Linked DNA regions of Oryzias latipes. The protein of the gene in region 3 interacts with the protein of the main gene of each other region in a pairwise test. Links are inferred from orthologs where the notes say so. Each region holds a gene or a part of one and is shown on either strand. Other genes may lie near its edges.

Region 1 (4,110 bases), on a different chromosome or scaffold from region 3:
TGACAATCAAGCAGATTTTTAAAGTCAAACATGAACCAGCTCTGAAACTGCTATAGACTCTAAAAACTTGTAACGATGATTTCGGTTTTTCCTTTGGTGTTTAACTGAAAACATTGTCTCAACGGTGGATAACTGGTCTCTTCAGTGGGATCATCATCATCATCAGTTACCAGAACTTGTTGGCGGGCAGCATCCTCGCAGCATCCTCTCTCTGCGCTTGCGGGCAATACTTGCGCGTGTGAGCGCGGTCTCCGGTGGCCCCGCAGATGGGACAGGTGTAGTTTCGGAGGATGGGGCAGGTGACCTTCCTGTCGTCCGACCTGAGCGCGTGCGAGCGGTAGACCTGCCGAGTCTCGCCGTTCTGCTTGCAGAAGCGGCAGTAATCTGCGGGGCTCCCGCCGCAACTGGTGTCCGAGAGGCTGCTGACGGAGCTCGTCTCTGCGGAGCTCTGCGTCTGGATGATGCGCCACGGCGCCGCGGGTTCCTGCTTCGGCTTCTCGGGGTCGACCTGCCGCCGGTTGCACAGCCTTTGCAGGAGTGCGCCCAGGTTCATGTAGTCGTGCCACATGTCAAAGCAGTCCTCGCTGAGGACGTGCGCGCTCTGGACATCCACAGTTGTTTGCACCGAGGCCATTTTTGGAACACAAATTTCGATCAGTTCCAAGTTAGTCTGGAGAGTTTTAAATTTAAATACTTTCAAAATAAAACCTGAAACAATGATTGCAGATGTTTGGGCACTCAAAGGCTTTGTTCTTCAGATTATTTTACAGGTGTATCAATTCGTACTTTTAGGAATAAAAAGGAGGTTAAATTAGGCTAAAAAAACTAATTTAAGAGCTATTTTTGGGATGCAGATTTGAATGTATGCGCCAATTAGGCCATTGTGTTGGTTCTGTCTATTGCTTAGCTTAATTTTTTTATGTCATGATCCTAATTTCTTTTTCCTTTGTTGAGAAGTATCACTTTTAACATCTGTTAATCTTTTGCAGCCCAAACATTTAAGGCCACTTCATCATTTGGATGGACACGGTGTCCACCTCGGGTCATTTAAAGACCACAGGCGCCGGATCGTCTAGTCAGGGCCACTTCAAAAACATTTAAAAACACACCTGCACGCGGGCAGGTGTTGCACACACGACCCCTCCTTGAAGTTTGAAAGCACGATTTCAGCCATTGATTGAACTGCGATACCCACATACCGACTGTGCTTCAAAAAGAAACTCCATCATTAGAGTTTGTGTCCATTTTTTTTGAAAACCGCACAACTATTCACTTGTTTACCAGGGCCAGCTCCTTGTGTGGGTGGAGCCAAAGGAGCGTCACTGAATACGTTTATTTGACGCATGCGTAGTGGCATACCGGCGACGGCAGCAGAAGCAGTGGCTTAGCGATTTAGGGGATTATAAAACCTAAACTGACAGGTATGTATAATGTATCTACACATTGTTGTTCTATACTTTTACCGCTTTTAGATTACGAATAAATGATTTTAGTATGTGTGTTTAAAAGTTTGGTGACAAATAAGCTGTTAAAAGGCATGTGTTACTCGGGGTTTTCAGCTAAGCTAACGTCAAGCTAGCTCGTTAGCAGCAGAGGCTAGCAAGAGCTGTGACATCAACAAGCTAATCATGTGGGAAATTAAGTAAATAAGCATTTTTTACTATAGACTGTTTGATGTCTTGATTTCTAATGAGAACCCATATCTCTCTATAAATAGAAAGAAAAGTCATTTGTTCCACAGTAATGATTTTGGTATTGGGCAAACATGCCGAAAGCTAGCAAACTATAAAGCTAACTGCTACAAGCCCTTCTGACAATCTTGAGTAATATGTTCGAGACGTCTGAAAACGACCTGCATTCTTGGTTTTGCTATACATTGCGGTGATTGTCATGAAAACCTGAAGAAATACACAGAAGAATGTAAAAGAAAATACAGACATTACAATACATCTACAACATGTGGGTTTTCCAGGATCTGTAACACTAAAGTTCTGCACCACCGGGACTACTAACGAGACTAAAATTCTTCATTTTCTCAGGCTACAAAATGAGTCAGGGGAAGGATAATGCACGACTGAAGAGCTACAAGAACAAGTCTCTCAACACAGATGAGATGAGAAGAAGGAGGGAAGAGGAAGGCCTGCAGCTCAGAAAACAGAAGAAGGACGAACAAGTAAGTAAAGTGTAAACTTTATATTCATCCATCAAACACAATAATTTAGTGTGTTTTCCTAGCTTTTTTCCCCCCTCATAAATTGCTTAGGTTTTTACAATATGGAATTGTGTTACTTCCATATAAGACAAGTAGAAGATATACAAACTGGTAACAGCAGTTATTTTTGTTATGCTGCTTCTTACCTAGTCAAAGTACATATAATAATAAAACCAAAAGATGCTGTACTATTTCTTTGTACAACTTTAAGGACTGTGTCTTTGCAGCTATTTAAAAGAAGAAATGTTGCCACTGTGGAGGATGATGGTGCCCTGGAGGATGATGGAATGGCAGATAGTGGTTATCTGGAATCCCAGGCTAACAACATGGACCCATTTGGGGTGAGAATTAGCTCAATAAAACCTTTTTTATGGTGTTGTTTGTTGCATCTTTCACAATAAATTTGACTGATCTGTTATTGTTTTTACTATGTTCTGCAAAGGGTGGGGTCATTTCTGAGGACATGATTCAGATGATTTTCTCCAGCACTCCAGAGCAGCAGCTAATAGGCACACAACGCTTTAGAAAACTCCTTTCTAAAGGTAAAGGTCTAGCTGAATGCCAGCCTGTTCTATATCGCATAGAGCGATGAACAAATGCATCAACACATTCTACTGTTTAACTAGAGCTAAACAGCCTTGTAAGTTATCTAGAACTAGAAACAATCTTGATCATGTTCAAATTCAATTTGCTGCATCATCTTCATTTCTTTCATTTTTTTTTAATATTACAAAAATAACGAAAGACTGTTCTGATTTGATTTATTTTTAATTTTTAATTAAATAAAAATTGTCTCAATTTTTGTCTCCAACAGAGCCCAATCCACCTATTGATGAGGTCATTGCCACTTCAGGGGTGGTGGAGCGTTTTGTTGAGTTCCTAAAAAGAAGAGAAAATTGCACATTGCAGGTAAAGTGGTTTAATGCCTGAACAAATGCAGCTAGTCTAGTAATCATGAGCTATAGTGTTTTAGATGGAGTTTTTTTTGTCTGTCCTGACATAAATTGGTCGTGTTTTTCTTAGTTTGAAGCTGCGTGGGTTTTGACCAACATTGCTTCAGGCACATCCCACCAGACTAGGGTCGTAATCCAGGCAGGAGCTGTTCCCATATTCATAGAGATGCTCGCCTCGGATTTTGAAGATGTGCAAGAACAGGTGAGGGACATTTTTGTTGTCAATATTTATCTCTTTTCATATTCTTATTTTCAAATTATTACATATTTCGTAAATTCGTTTTTTTATGTCTAACTTGAATTATTTCCTCTTCTGTAGGCAGTGTGGGCTTTGGGTAATATAGCAGGTGATAGCACAGAATGCAGAGACTTTGTCATAGACTGCAATATTCTACCATCCCTGATCCAGTAAGTAGCAGATTATTGTTAAACAGCTCTATGGTTCTCGTTTCACGTGAGATAAATATGAACAAGTCCATGTTTGAACATCGAACTCCTTTTTTCAGATTATTGGCTAAACAGAATCGTTTAACAATGATGAGGAATGCAGTTTGGGCACTGTCTAACCTGTGCAGAGGCAAAAATCCTCCTCCTGACTTCTCCAAGGTAATTTCTCAAGATGATACTTAACATGTCTCTCATTCCCAAAGAACAAGTTAAGTTAAAAACCATTGTTGGTAATTATTTACCGACCCTCCAGGACTTTCAGATGTTGGAATTGCACACTTGCAACTTTTTCTTGACATTGCAACTTTACCCAATCTCTGTAACTTGGAAAAAGTTTTACTTGTAAAACCCTTTCTGCCAATCAAGTTTAGAGGCTCAAACATGTACATCATCAGTCTAACCAATCAAAGGTGCCAACATGGCTGGTAAAATCTCTGTTCCCTCCACAAATCCCAGCTAAAGATTGTTTTTAGCGGCGCAGCCAGCTCCCAGCGGGTT
Region 2 (3,979 bases), on a different chromosome or scaffold from region 3:
GCAGAAGAGCATCTTTGTATGCACAACATGTCCAACCGTGAGGCAGATGGGCTACAGCAGCAGAGAACCTCACCGGGTGCCGCTCCTGTCAGCTAAGAACAGGAAACTGAGGCTGCAATTAACACAGACTCACCAAAACTGGACAATAGAAGATTGGAAAAACCTTGTCTGGTCTGATGAATCTCCATCTCTGCTTCAACATTTGGATGGTAGGGTCAGAATTTGGCATCAAAAACATGAAATCATGGAGCCATCCAGTCTTATATCAAGAGTTTAGGCTGGTGCTGGTGGTGCACTGGTGTGGGGGCACACTTTGGGTCCCTTAGTACCAATTGAGGATCTTTTCAACTTCACAGTGTACCTGTGTATTGTCGCTGACCATGTCCGTCCCTTTATGACCACAGTTTCTACTTTTGGTACTTCCAGTAGGATAATGCACCATGTCATAAAGCTGGAATCATCTCAGACTGGTTTCTTGAACATGACTATGAGTTCACTGGACTCAAATGACCTCCACAGTCACCAGATCTCAACCCAATAGATCACCTTTGGGAGGTGGTGGCACGGGAGATTGGCATCATGGATGTGCAGCCAACAAACCCGAGGCAACTGCGTGATGTTATCATGTTAATACGGACAAAACTCTCTGAGGAATGTTTCCAGCACCTTGTTGAATACATACCACCAAGGATTAAGCCAGTTCTGAAGAAAATGTGATTGTTTGAAATCAACAAATTACAATTCGTGAGCAACCTGGTTTATGACCACATGGCGGCGCTGTCTTGCTGTGTAGAAAACGTACATGAAGACAGAAAGATAGACTACGTCCAGATTTTCTTTGTACAGAAAAAAAAACAATGCAAACAATATTATAATATAATTTGCCAAAAGCAGTTGCATGTATGTTGCCGCTTCATATAGTATGTATTACTAATTATTTACAATAATAAAGTATTAACCTAAGATTTTTTCCCCCCATAATGTTGTCTTTATTATTAAAACAAAACAAAAAATGTGACTTCGCAAATTCCCATTCTCCTCGTGGTTTGGAGCGCATTGATCCGCTGATCGGACCCCCTCCGCCGTTCATAATCGGTGCCTCGTCCCCCCCGCCGTTCTGCTTGCATCCCAGCATCCCTCCCTCCTTCCCTCTCGGCGGTGCATCCCCATCCCCCACACGTCGGCCGTCTCTCCGGTTGAAAGCTGTTTCCAAGCGTCACTGGCCGAGCAGAAAGAACCAGTCCTCACCGACCGAGCGCACCGCAGCACGCCGAGAAGTCTTTGTTTTCGAGTGGTTTCGGTGAGTCCCGTTTTGCTGGCTGTCGTGGAGGGCAGAAATGTCCATAGGTCGACTTTTTATATCTGCGTTCTTTGACTTCTTCCCCCTCCCTTTCCCTTCAATTGTCCTCCGTGGTGACTAGTGGGAATCTAGCGGGCTAAGCTAAAAATGCTAACGATAATAGCGGACACTAAATGGACACACTAAATGCACCGGATGTGCGTTAATGCTTATAGGTTTCGAATCTAAATATTTAAACATGTTTACATTATTTAAGCCATGTTATTGTTGTTAGTTTTTTTCCTGCAATTGTCCGGTAATTTATCGGCTAGCCTGCTATTAGCGACGTGAGCAGCGTGCACCGATGGATGCGGGGATGCAGCGGCCGGTTAGCGGCTGTCTTTTTCGGGCTAGCTTGAAAGCTAACGTTTCGATAAGAGTTCAACCGTTTCCAGCGCTTTTGTTTCCCAATGATTCGACCTCACGCGTGTTGATTGATCGTCTCGTGTTAACTGGCAGCTTCTGGAGGTTGTTGCACAAAAAATCTGGGGATTTTCAAAATGGTGTCTTTGGCTTGTATTGACTGTGTGACCATTTTTGTCCAACCTTTGCTGTTTTGGCGTTGCTCGCTATCTGTGGTGAGCAGCGCAGCCCCGACCGATGCGTGCCGCGGGCTGATAGAAGAAATACATCCGAACCACCAAGGTTCTGAGAAATGTACAGGAGGCTGCAGGATAATAATATATCAAGATAAAAAGAATGTTTTGTTGTCAAACAATTTTAAAATCATTATTTATTTTCCTAAAACCTGTTATGCTTTAAAATATACATTTCCATCCTACAGAAAACAATAGAGTAAATGCATAATCAACATGGGTTTACCTTTATAAATTTGTTACAACTTTTATTTAGTAGGAAAGTCCCAGTTAGATTTGTGTTGGGCACCAGTTTGTTTGATTCATTTGATTTTGAGTATCTCCCTAAAATGAGTCCCAATCTGATATGTTTGTAACGCATCAAATAAATGAACATTTTAATAAACTAATCGAGGTTCTCCTCTATTTTTATTTTATTAACTTTCTTTTACATTTTGACACCGATCATTTGTTTATTGGTTCAAAAACGTTCTTAGAAGTCCCTTAATTACAATCATGCCATTTTTAGCCAAAGTAAAAAAAACTTTAGGCTGTGTCCGAATTCCCTCCCTAATCCCTAACTACTAAAAACTATATAGTAAACTATGTAGTGCCCTTTTAAAAGTAATTCAGACACCACGCTCAATACTTTTTTTGCTAACAGCGAATATGACAACCGATTTCACAAAGTGAAAATCTAATTGATAGGAGTGTTCTACAACAACTGTTTATGAATCCACTGTGTTCTGATGATGAAAATGTTGAATTTTTATTTGAAAACAGATTTAAATACATTTTATCTTGCAAAAATTGTTCAGACGCAATGCATAATGGTCTATATTTGCCAATCTAGTAAGCATTGATGCACACTGCATCAATGACTTCTGGGAAATTTCTAGGCCACTCGATTTTGGATTTGTAGATTTGGACAGCCTCACAAAATGGTGAACGCACTATAAAGTGCACTATATATTTATAATTAGTCCTTGTAAGAATGTTTGGTTACTGTATCTTTAGTGTCTTTAGAACTATTGATCGTTTTTTTTAAACATATATGATTTGATTTGTTCCATTAAAAATTTCCAAAAATTAAAAACAATGACTTTCCTCCAAAATTGTTGTTTCAGCATGAATATGATGAGTATTCATGACTAGTTCATATCAATGTAACCATTTATTTGTTTTGATTCTTTTTAATCACTTTTCCTGGAGCTTTCACTTTGTAGACGGTCCCTTGGCAGCGGTTTCTTTGCTAGAGTAGATATTAAAGAGGGAAAAAAATTGATTGAAATGCCTTTGTAGGTCATTGCTTGGCTTAAGACAAACTGATAGAGACACCTTTTGTTAGTTTAAAGCGCTTAAGAGAGTTATTCAGCCCGTAAGCCTGAATCTGTGAATATATTGCTAACTTTACCAAAATGTTTTTGTTCTTCACTCCTATTCAAACTAGAGTCGTGATCCGTTCATGATATACAGACTTCTACTAGGGCATTTTTTGAAATAATAAGCTTGGGATGTATAGTGTGTTAATTGGGCCCAATTTTTTGATCATGTGACCTGATCAGGACATCCCTAGTTTTTATCACTTCGGTTCGTGTTTTGACACATCCGTCTTAAACTTGAAATAGTATTTTGTAACTCCTCCTATAAAATAAGCATATTTCCTAATTGAAACATGTGCTATCCCGGCTCAAAATCATGTATATTTGTTTTAAACATGTAAAGCAAAGGTATAGATTTAGAATTTAGCCTGTTGTGGTCTTCATCTGTCCTGTCATCTAAGCTGGTGTGTGGCATTGTTGAGTTTTAGCTGGCTGTATAATGGAGCTATTAAACTGTCAAACCTTTAAAAGCTAGAATCACTTAGTGTTACATCAGGAGCTCACAAATAGACCTTTGTGTTGTCAACACTTTTTTTTCCTGTGATTGGAGCTGCTTAAGGATTTGCTGCTTAGGGACCTAAAGACATTCAAAAAAATCTTCATTCAAGTAGCCTTCAGCAGCCCACTATACTATCTGTTAATTCGAGATTTCATTTTTAATGGTGACTACGAGATGACCGTTG
Region 3 (3,535 bases):
GAAGGGAAGGTCGGGCGAAAGGATGGCCAGATGCTGCCCGGAGAGGACGAGCCTCTGCACGCCTTGGTCACGGCCAACACCATGGAAAATGTCAAGAAGGCTGTGGAGCAGGTGTGTTTGCTGGTGGACACTTCCCAGTCTGATGTGTTTCCAGCTACAGGAGCAGATTTGGTTCTGATGGGAAAACTGTTCACAGATCCGAAACATCCTCAAGCAAGGAATCGAGACGCCTGAGGACCAAAACGACCTACGCAAGATGCAGCTGAGGGAGCTGGCCAGACTCAACGGCACTCTCAGAGAAGACGACAACAGGTGTGTGTGTGTGGCGCTATGGGCTGTTCTGCCCATAAAAACGACTCCACGAAAGGAGGATTTAGGGAAAGGTTCAAGCTTTATGTTGAAAGCGGCGCTGAAGATTGTTTCCTCGTTTTTCCTTGCAGGATTCTTCGTCCTTGGCAGAACTCGGAGCCACGCAGCATCACCAACACCACCCTTTGCACAAAGTGTGGTGGAGCCGGTCACATCTCTTCTGACTGCAAGTACACCAGGTAACCATCAGCCTCGGTCTGGAGGTTCCAGTTGCAGAACTCGTCACAAAGATTCATTTGTTGTTGTTGTTCTGCAGCACCTTCGCTGCCCACAGAGCCACAGGCGGGGAGCCCCCCCAGTCAGCGCAGGACAAGGCTCGTATGGACAAAGAATACCTGTCCCTCATGGCTGAGCTGGGGGAGGCCCCCGTCCCCAGCTCTGGCGGGGGACACTCCAACTCTCAGTCAGGATCTCGGAATTCCGGCCCCAACAGCAACCAGGCGATGGTCAGTTCAGGAAACAGACTGGAGCTGCTTCTTTGATGAGTGGAAAGCGTCTTAGCTGATGTGTGTTTCAGAACCGCCCCCCCTGGATGAGCTCTGGCCCCTCAGAGAACAGGAACTACTCTGCTGTTCAGGGAGGTCCCGCTGGACCCCACGGCTTCCCTCCCCCGATGCCTAGCATGGGAGGACCACCGCTTCCTCCCAATCCTAACGGAATGCCCCCACCCTGGATGCAGCCGCCCCCACCTCCCATGGGCCAGGGACCCCATGGACACCCCATGGGTAGGAGCTTTCATTGCCCAGAAGACGCACAATGTAAATATTACTCTTCTTTTCAAACAAACTGACTTTCAAATTCAAATGTAGCGGTCAGCAAGTAAAACGGTTCACTTCTGGCCCCAACCTAATGAAGTCAATTCAGTCGCCACTTTCTCACGGTATGGACGCCGTCATGTTGGAACCATCAGTAAGAAGGGATCTGCCTGAGTAGACGTTTCTATGGCAACCAGGAGTGAGCTTGTTGAAAGGCCACACCTGAAAGCAGGCTCAGGAGAATCTGTCAATCACACGTTTTCAACGCTCACATTTAGCGGGGCGTCTGATTGGTCCGTTTATAACTTGAGTGACTTGCAAGAAAGAAAAGAGATTTTAAAAACATTTAGCATTATCAAGATTTTAAAATAGGAATCTGAGCCAGAGCGGTCCTTAGTTCTCTATCGAAGTCTGGAATTTTGGCTTTTTGGAGCCAGCAGGTACTTCCTGTTTGGAACGCCGGGGGGGGAGGGGTCACTCAGTCCAGTTCCCATTTACAGTCAATCAATTCTGGCAAAAAAAAGTATATTATTGTGCTTTCAATTTTATATAATATTTACTTTGGTGTAAAGGATTTTTGTGTTTAAAGTGTTTTATAAATAAAGATTGATTTGGTTTATAAATAAAGGTGGAAGGCGGCGCCTTCCTCTGAACCTTCAAAGCAGAACTGAGCATCACATCTGTTTGTTTAGGTATGATGCCACCTCCAATGGGTATGATGCCACCACCTCCTCCACCCCCCAGCAGCCAGCCCCCTCCACCACCCTCCGCTCCCTTGCCACCATGGCAACAACAGGCTCCGCCCCCTCCTCCTACAAGCAGCATGGCAACAAGTACACCGCTGCCGTGGCAGCAGAGTAAGTATCCAACCAGAATCTGGTGCAGTGCATGTCAGACCCCAGCAGGGTCACGCCAGGGCGGTGTTGCTGCGTTTTGGCGCCGTTTGGTGACCGTCTGTCCCCTCCTCCTCCCTCGCAGACACCACCACCACCACCTCCAGCACCGGCACGCTGCCTCCATGGCAGCAGCCCCAACAGCCTTCTGTGTCTGCAGCTCAGCCCCCTCTGCCCATCGGAACCGCATCCATGGTGCCGCCTCCTCCCGGGGTCCAGCCCCCCTTGCCCCCAGGCGCCCCTCCGCCGCCACCCCCACCACCTCCGGGCTCCACCAGCATGATGTATGTTCCGCCGCCCCCTCCGCCACCCATGGACCCTTCCAATTTTGTTACCATGATGGGGATGGGAGTTCCGGGCATGCCACCCTTTGGGATGCCCCCCGCCCCTCCTCCTCCTCCCCCACAGAATTAATTCTCAATTGCAGTTGCCCGACAGCCCCCCCCTCCATCACATGATTCGGTCCGGCTGATTGACGCTACAGTCCACAGAGGAGTGGTTTCCAGCTGTGAGCGGCTGCATCCGTTCTGCTGCTGCAGCGCCGCGGTTGTCATGGAAACCCGCCCCCCCTTCATGGTTTCTGTGCTCCAATGAATCTGAACATTTTAGTTTGAGGTCCCAGCTGAAGCTGCATGATCCGAGCTCAGTCTGGTCCGCTGTTTTCCCGCCCTTCTCTGTTTTCCCGCCTTCAATCAGATGAATATTTTTGTAACAGTGAGACGATCGGTGACACGGATCTTAGCTCAGTCCAAAACGCTCCGTGTTGTAACTCATTTCCCTGTTGGTTGCTTAGCTCTAGACTATAATTGCTGTTTCCTGCTCTTCTTTTCACTGCATCTGCGTTCAGAAACGCAGAGACGGAACGGCGTTTGTGTGGCTTTGAGAAGATTCTGTTCTGTTCTTTCTTAGACGGACGTCAACAGAGCATCTTGTCTTTTTCCTTGTTTGTGGATTTGTCTCTGACCTCAATAAAAATATAATTCTTGGTTTGGTAATAAACTGATCAGTAAGCTTCCTTTCTGTGGATGTGAGGTCTTTGCACTCACTCTGAAATCTCAGGATTGTCAACCATGAACCCGTTCTGTCAAACGTCTGCTGCTGCGTGAACTTCTCGCTCCGCCTCCGTGTTGCAGAAGCTGTGTAACACGCATGTCTCACATACGGTGCAAACGGAGGTCAAAGCTTCTTTGAGGACTTGTCGTTCAGATTTCCCAACAGATCTCTAAAAATTGCAGCAGAGACAACAGGAAGAGTCTCAGGACGCAGATCCCCTCATTGCCCCTTACTGTGTTTTAATAATAGGTATTTACATGTATTTAGATGAATATTTACCAAAACTAAATGCAAAAGTAGTTTCAAAGACCCACTCCGGTCATCTTCTGTTCTATTTTTTTCAACGTTTTTAGCCAAAATTAGAGCATGTCGTTTTCTAGGACATAGTTTCTGCAGAGCGGCAGGAGTTCATCAAATTCACCTCTGATGTCCCATCATTTCTTTGTTTACACTCTGTCCCGCTAG
Region 4 (4,275 bases), on a different chromosome or scaffold from region 3:
TCCTAACTTGTTTTTATTGTGCTGGTTAATGTGATTAATACCTTTTTTAAGCTGTTTATGCTCCTCCTGTTGCTTTTGTTCAGTTTGCTTTGCGCTTCTCTGTGCTTCCTGCAGTGAAAACTCCAGTTGTTCTATATTTGTTTGCTGTTTTTCTAGTTGTTGTTCAAAATCCTTCTGCACTGTTTTTAGTTGAGATCTGATGGCCTCACGATCCGTTTCAGCTGCTGCTACTCTGTCTTGGAGGGGCAGTACCGTTCCCCTCACATCCTGCAGGTGTTTTGCCAGCCTGCGCATGTCTCTGAGCTGTTCATTGGCCCACTGTGCAACATCACCTGGAGTCAGATGTCCCACCCTCACTGTCTCATCCACAACTGCTGAGAGAGGCTGCAGAGATGAGGGTAGACCTTCACTTTGAAACAGATCTATCAAAGATTCTCCAGTTTTTCTCAAAAGAGATTGCACTTGGTGACATGTACCACAAGGGATGAGGGACGTTTGTGCAGTCTGGCAGCTGACATTATGGGAGGCAGTTTTAGGATGGAATGAGGTTTGTTCGGGGGAACTGATGGTGATGTTATTTTGTGGGAGGAATTTAAATGAGCTTGTGGAAGACCAGGATATGGAAGAATGCCTGGAGCAACTTGTGCTGGATCTATTGAGAGGGGACTCGACGTTTGACTCATCAGATTCCACTGAATTTGTCTTTTCTGCAATGTTTTTGAAGAGTTCCTAAAAAGACATAAAAGGCATTTAAAGTCAAATACTTTTGCATGTGTTTTTATCCCTGTGGCATTACTAGAAAAAGAGGTTTCTTTACCTTTTTATCTGCAAATTGAAGTAAATCCCCCCAATAATTCCTGACCACAAGACCAACTGACATGCTGCCTCTGTGTGCAGCTCCTTCTGGTCTGTGGACCCCCATCTGTTGTTCAGCATAAACGCTGACGCTTTGAAGAAGAAACAGGAGCCTTGTTGGGGAACAAGAACATGCAGAGATGCTTTTAAAGTCATTATATATATATATATATATATATATATATATATATATATATATATATATATATATATATATATATATTTTACATGCAATACAACATTAGGTTACCTGTCAATCATCAATTCCAGGAGAATAATGTGGGAATGCTGATTGAAGTCATCTTCTCCTGCCACGAAGTCATATTCCTCCAACAAAGCAACAATGTCTAGATGACAGGAAAGTTTGTCCGGGAATTTCCAGGAGGAAGCGCAGACTGGTCCTGTTCTGGAGAGCACGTCCAGAACCGCACCCTGAATATCGATGAGGTCTTTTCTTAGATTCTTGATAGAATCCTGACGACCCAACAACAAACTCATGTCTAAAACGCTTATTTGGCGCCTATAAGTACTTGTTGACGTGAGGTCTCCTTGGCAACAGTTAACTCCAAGTCCCACAGTTCTTAGCGGATATTTCCGGAAGTAATTGGCCGCCATTGCGTTAACGAAAACGAGACGCGGTGAGTATTAACGTCGACAAATAAAGAATTATAGCTGTATTAGCTATTACTTTTTGACTTACAGAATTTTTTTTAAAGAATTCATTTCAAAATATATGTGTGTTGCTTTAGTGTTTTCAGGTAAAATTGGTGATTCGTTAAAAAGACGCAGCCATGCCGCCCGGGCCTGTTCAAATGGTTCAGCCTGAGCCTAACAACAAGGTAAGGACGCTAACTAGCTAACATTAGCCTCAGATATCCGTCGCTTTTCTTAATGATTTATCGCCTTATAAAATTCGCCCCCTTTATGCAAAGCTTTCTAAGCCTGTCCAAAATTAAATGCTAATGTTTATAAAGCTGTAAAACATATGGGGCAACGTTTGCGTCTATATGTGTGGCCCTAAAAATTCCCAAGTTGAGAAAGTCAATAAAATTAGGTAACAGATATTACTTAAACTATGATTGCACTTCAATATTTGGTATCTTTGCATATGGTTTAGACTAAATGTGTTAGTTGTATTCTCAGGTTTTTAATGATCGAGTGGTTTAATGTTTAAATTGTTGCAGTGTATCTTAGAATTACCTAAAGTAAGTCTTATTAATTAATAAGTGAATTGATAATGTTTGTGTAATAATATTTTTAAGGAGGAACTTCACTGTACTTGATGTTATTTTTAAATATAAATATTCTTACTTTGAACCTTCTCTTGTCAGAATGATACACCTCCGGAGGAAACTCCAGCCACTAAACCTATTGTTGGCATCATATATCCTCCTCCTGAGGTCCGTAATATAGTTGACAAGACTGCGAGCTTTGTTGCCAGGTTGGTTGCCAAAGAACTGTCACGTACAGCTGTAAGAGGTGTTTGCTATCTGTAGTTTGACTCTATACTTGTCACTTTACAGGAATGGGCCTGAGTTTGAAGCAAGAATCCGTCAGAATGAGATCAACAATCCAAAATTTAATTTCCTCAACCCCAACGATCCCTACCATGCTTACTACCGCCACAAAGTCAATGAGTTTAAGGAGGGCAAAGCTCAAGAACCGTCCGCCGCAGTGCCCAAGGTTATGCAGCAGGCTATGCAGCAATCTCAGCAGCTTCCACAAAAAGTAAGGACTGTCTATTTACTGTGCCCGGACCTACAAGGGTTTATATTTATACAAACTTGCCTTTTCTTCATCAGGTGCAGTCCCAGGTGATTCAGGAAACTGTGGTCCCCAAAGAACCGCCTCCAGAGTTTGAATTCATAGCTGATCCTCCATCAATCTCTGCATTCGATCTTGATGTTGTGAAGCTCACTGCCCAGTTTGTTGCACGAAACGGCCGTCAGTTTCTCACCCAGCTCATGCAAAAAGAACAGAGGAACTACCAATTTGACTTTTTGAGACCCCAGCACAGCCTTTTCAACTACTTCACAAAACTGGTGGAACAATATACCAAGGTAAAGGACAAAAATTACAGCTTTCTTTGTTTTTTTATTGAAACTGTGTTATTGAACTTTTTTAAATGTTGCCTCAACCTTTAGATTCTGATCCCCCCAAAGGGTCTGCTGGCCAAACTAAAGAGAGAGGCTGAGAATCCAAAGGAGGTTATGGACCAGGTAATTTATTTTAGCCTTCAGAAGATTATTTTCTATGTTTAAAACTGTCTTGTTACAAACATCAGGTGAGATACCGTGTTGAGTGGGCAAAGTACCAGGAGCGTGAGAGAAAGAAGGAGGAAGAGGAGCGAGAGAAGGAACGCGTAGCCTATGCTCAAATTGACTGGCATGACTTTGTCGTGGTGGAGACTGTGGACTTCCAGCCCAATGAACAAGGTAGCATGACTATAGGAACACCAGGTCCAGATGTTGCAAGAACCATAGTTATTAATTTATTCATTTGGTGTTTTTCCAAGGCCACTTCCCCCCACCTACCACTCCAGAGGAGCTTGGTGCTCGAATCCTCATCCAGGAGCGCTATGAGAAGTATGGAGAAAGTGAGGAGGTGGAGATGGAAGTTGAGAGTGAGGATGAAGAGGATGAACGGGAGAAACGAGCCGGAGGTCAACCCTCACAGCCTGACCAAGACACACAAGTGCAGGACATGGATGAGGTAAACAGTTATCATTTACTACATTTATACAAAGTCCAACACTTGTCTAGGTTTCTTGGTTACTTGTGTAGCAAATTCACAAATTTAAAATGCTACTTCTCCAGGGATCAGATGATGAGGACGATGGAATTAAAGCTCCACTTCCACCTGACAACCCCATGCCACCTCCTCTGCCCCCGACTCCAGACCACGTCATCATTCGAAAAGACTATGATCCCAAAGGTACATTTTTTTCTGTGATTGAAATATTATGAAGTATAAAAACAAGCAAATAAAACAAGCGGTGCATTAAAACTTGTTTCCTTTTTTTTTTTTTTTTTTCACAGCCTCCAAGCCTATGCCCTCAGTTGCAGCTCCAGATGAGTACCTCATTTCACCAATCACTGGTGAGAAGATCCCAGCCAGCAAGATGCAGGAGCACATGCGCATTGGTCTGCTGGACCCACGCTGGCTGGAACAAAGAGACCGCAGCATCAGGGATAGACAGACAGAGGATGAAGTCTATGCTCCTGGTCTGGATATCGAGAGCAGCTTGAAGCAGCTCGCTGAGAGGCGTACTGATATCTTTGGTGTTGAAGAGACAGCCATTGGTAAGAAGATTGGTGAAGAGGAAATCCAGAAGCCAGAGGAGAAGGTGAGTTCCGTAGAAAGTAGCATGGTTTTTGTGAAAAGCATCATTTGAACTCGTTTTTTTATCAACCTGATAGA

Evidence for each region. The genes of interacting proteins can lie anywhere in the genome.
Region 1: the proteins of sf1 (region 3) and kpna1 interact in binary tests that used the Homo sapiens proteins (3 or more experiments, as listed by UniProt). The link is inferred for Oryzias latipes from reciprocal best matches to the Homo sapiens genes SF1 and KPNA1.
Region 2: the proteins of sf1 (region 3) and fam168a interact in binary tests that used the Homo sapiens proteins (3 or more experiments, as listed by UniProt). The two-hybrid records come from large-scale screens. The link is inferred for Oryzias latipes from reciprocal best matches to the Homo sapiens genes SF1 and FAM168A.
Region 4: the proteins of sf1 (region 3) and sf3a1 interact in binary tests that used the Homo sapiens proteins (3 or more experiments, as listed by UniProt). The link is inferred for Oryzias latipes from reciprocal best matches to the Homo sapiens genes SF1 and SF3A1.

The regions. Positions count from the first base shown.
Region 1 is NC_019878.2:17,889,057-17,893,166, reverse strand, and holds the start of kpna1 (importin subunit alpha-5), read left to right. Parts: upstream 1-1,305; 5' UTR 1,306-1,421; intron 1,422-2,039; 5' UTR 2,040-2,047; coding exon 2,048-2,173; intron 2,174-2,439; coding exon 2,440-2,553; intron 2,554-2,654; coding exon 2,655-2,754; intron 2,755-3,026; coding exon 3,027-3,121; intron 3,122-3,235; coding exon 3,236-3,367; intron 3,368-3,484; coding exon 3,485-3,573; intron 3,574-3,671; coding exon 3,672-3,771; intron 3,772-4,110. UniProt on the Homo sapiens protein: Functions in nuclear protein import as an adapter protein for nuclear receptor KPNB1. Binds specifically and directly to substrates containing either a simple or bipartite NLS motif.
Region 2 is NC_019871.2:20,750,910-20,754,888, reverse strand, and holds the start of fam168a (protein FAM168A), read left to right. Parts: upstream 1-1,174; 5' UTR 1,175-1,300; intron 1,301-1,885; exon of another isoform or gene 1,886-2,680; intron 2,681-3,979.
Region 3 is NC_019876.2:29,186,651-29,190,185, forward strand, and holds the end of sf1 (splicing factor 1), read left to right. Parts: coding exon 1-111; intron 112-196; coding exon 197-312; intron 313-440; coding exon 441-548; intron 549-625; coding exon 626-815; intron 816-886; coding exon 887-1,127; intron 1,128-1,816; coding exon 1,817-1,981; intron 1,982-2,102; coding exon 2,103-2,431; 3' UTR 2,432-3,032; downstream 3,033-3,535. UniProt on the Homo sapiens protein: Necessary for the ATP-dependent first step of spliceosome assembly. Binds to the intron branch point sequence (BPS) 5'-UACUAAC-3' of the pre-mRNA. May act as transcription repressor.
Region 4 is NC_019867.2:18,886,035-18,890,309, reverse strand, and holds the start of sf3a1 (splicing factor 3A subunit 1), read left to right. Parts: upstream 1-1,470; 5' UTR 1,471-1,493; intron 1,494-1,604; 5' UTR 1,605-1,646; coding exon 1,647-1,694; intron 1,695-2,186; coding exon 2,187-2,296; intron 2,297-2,378; coding exon 2,379-2,583; intron 2,584-2,657; coding exon 2,658-2,915; intron 2,916-2,999; coding exon 3,000-3,074; intron 3,075-3,139; coding exon 3,140-3,290; intron 3,291-3,370; coding exon 3,371-3,567; intron 3,568-3,671; coding exon 3,672-3,789; intron 3,790-3,893; coding exon 3,894-4,201; intron 4,202-4,275. Other genes in the region: ccdc157 (coiled-coil domain-containing protein 157), read right to left, coding at 42-729, 818-968, 1,106-1,470. UniProt on the Homo sapiens protein: Component of the 17S U2 SnRNP complex of the spliceosome, a large ribonucleoprotein complex that removes introns from transcribed pre-mRNAs.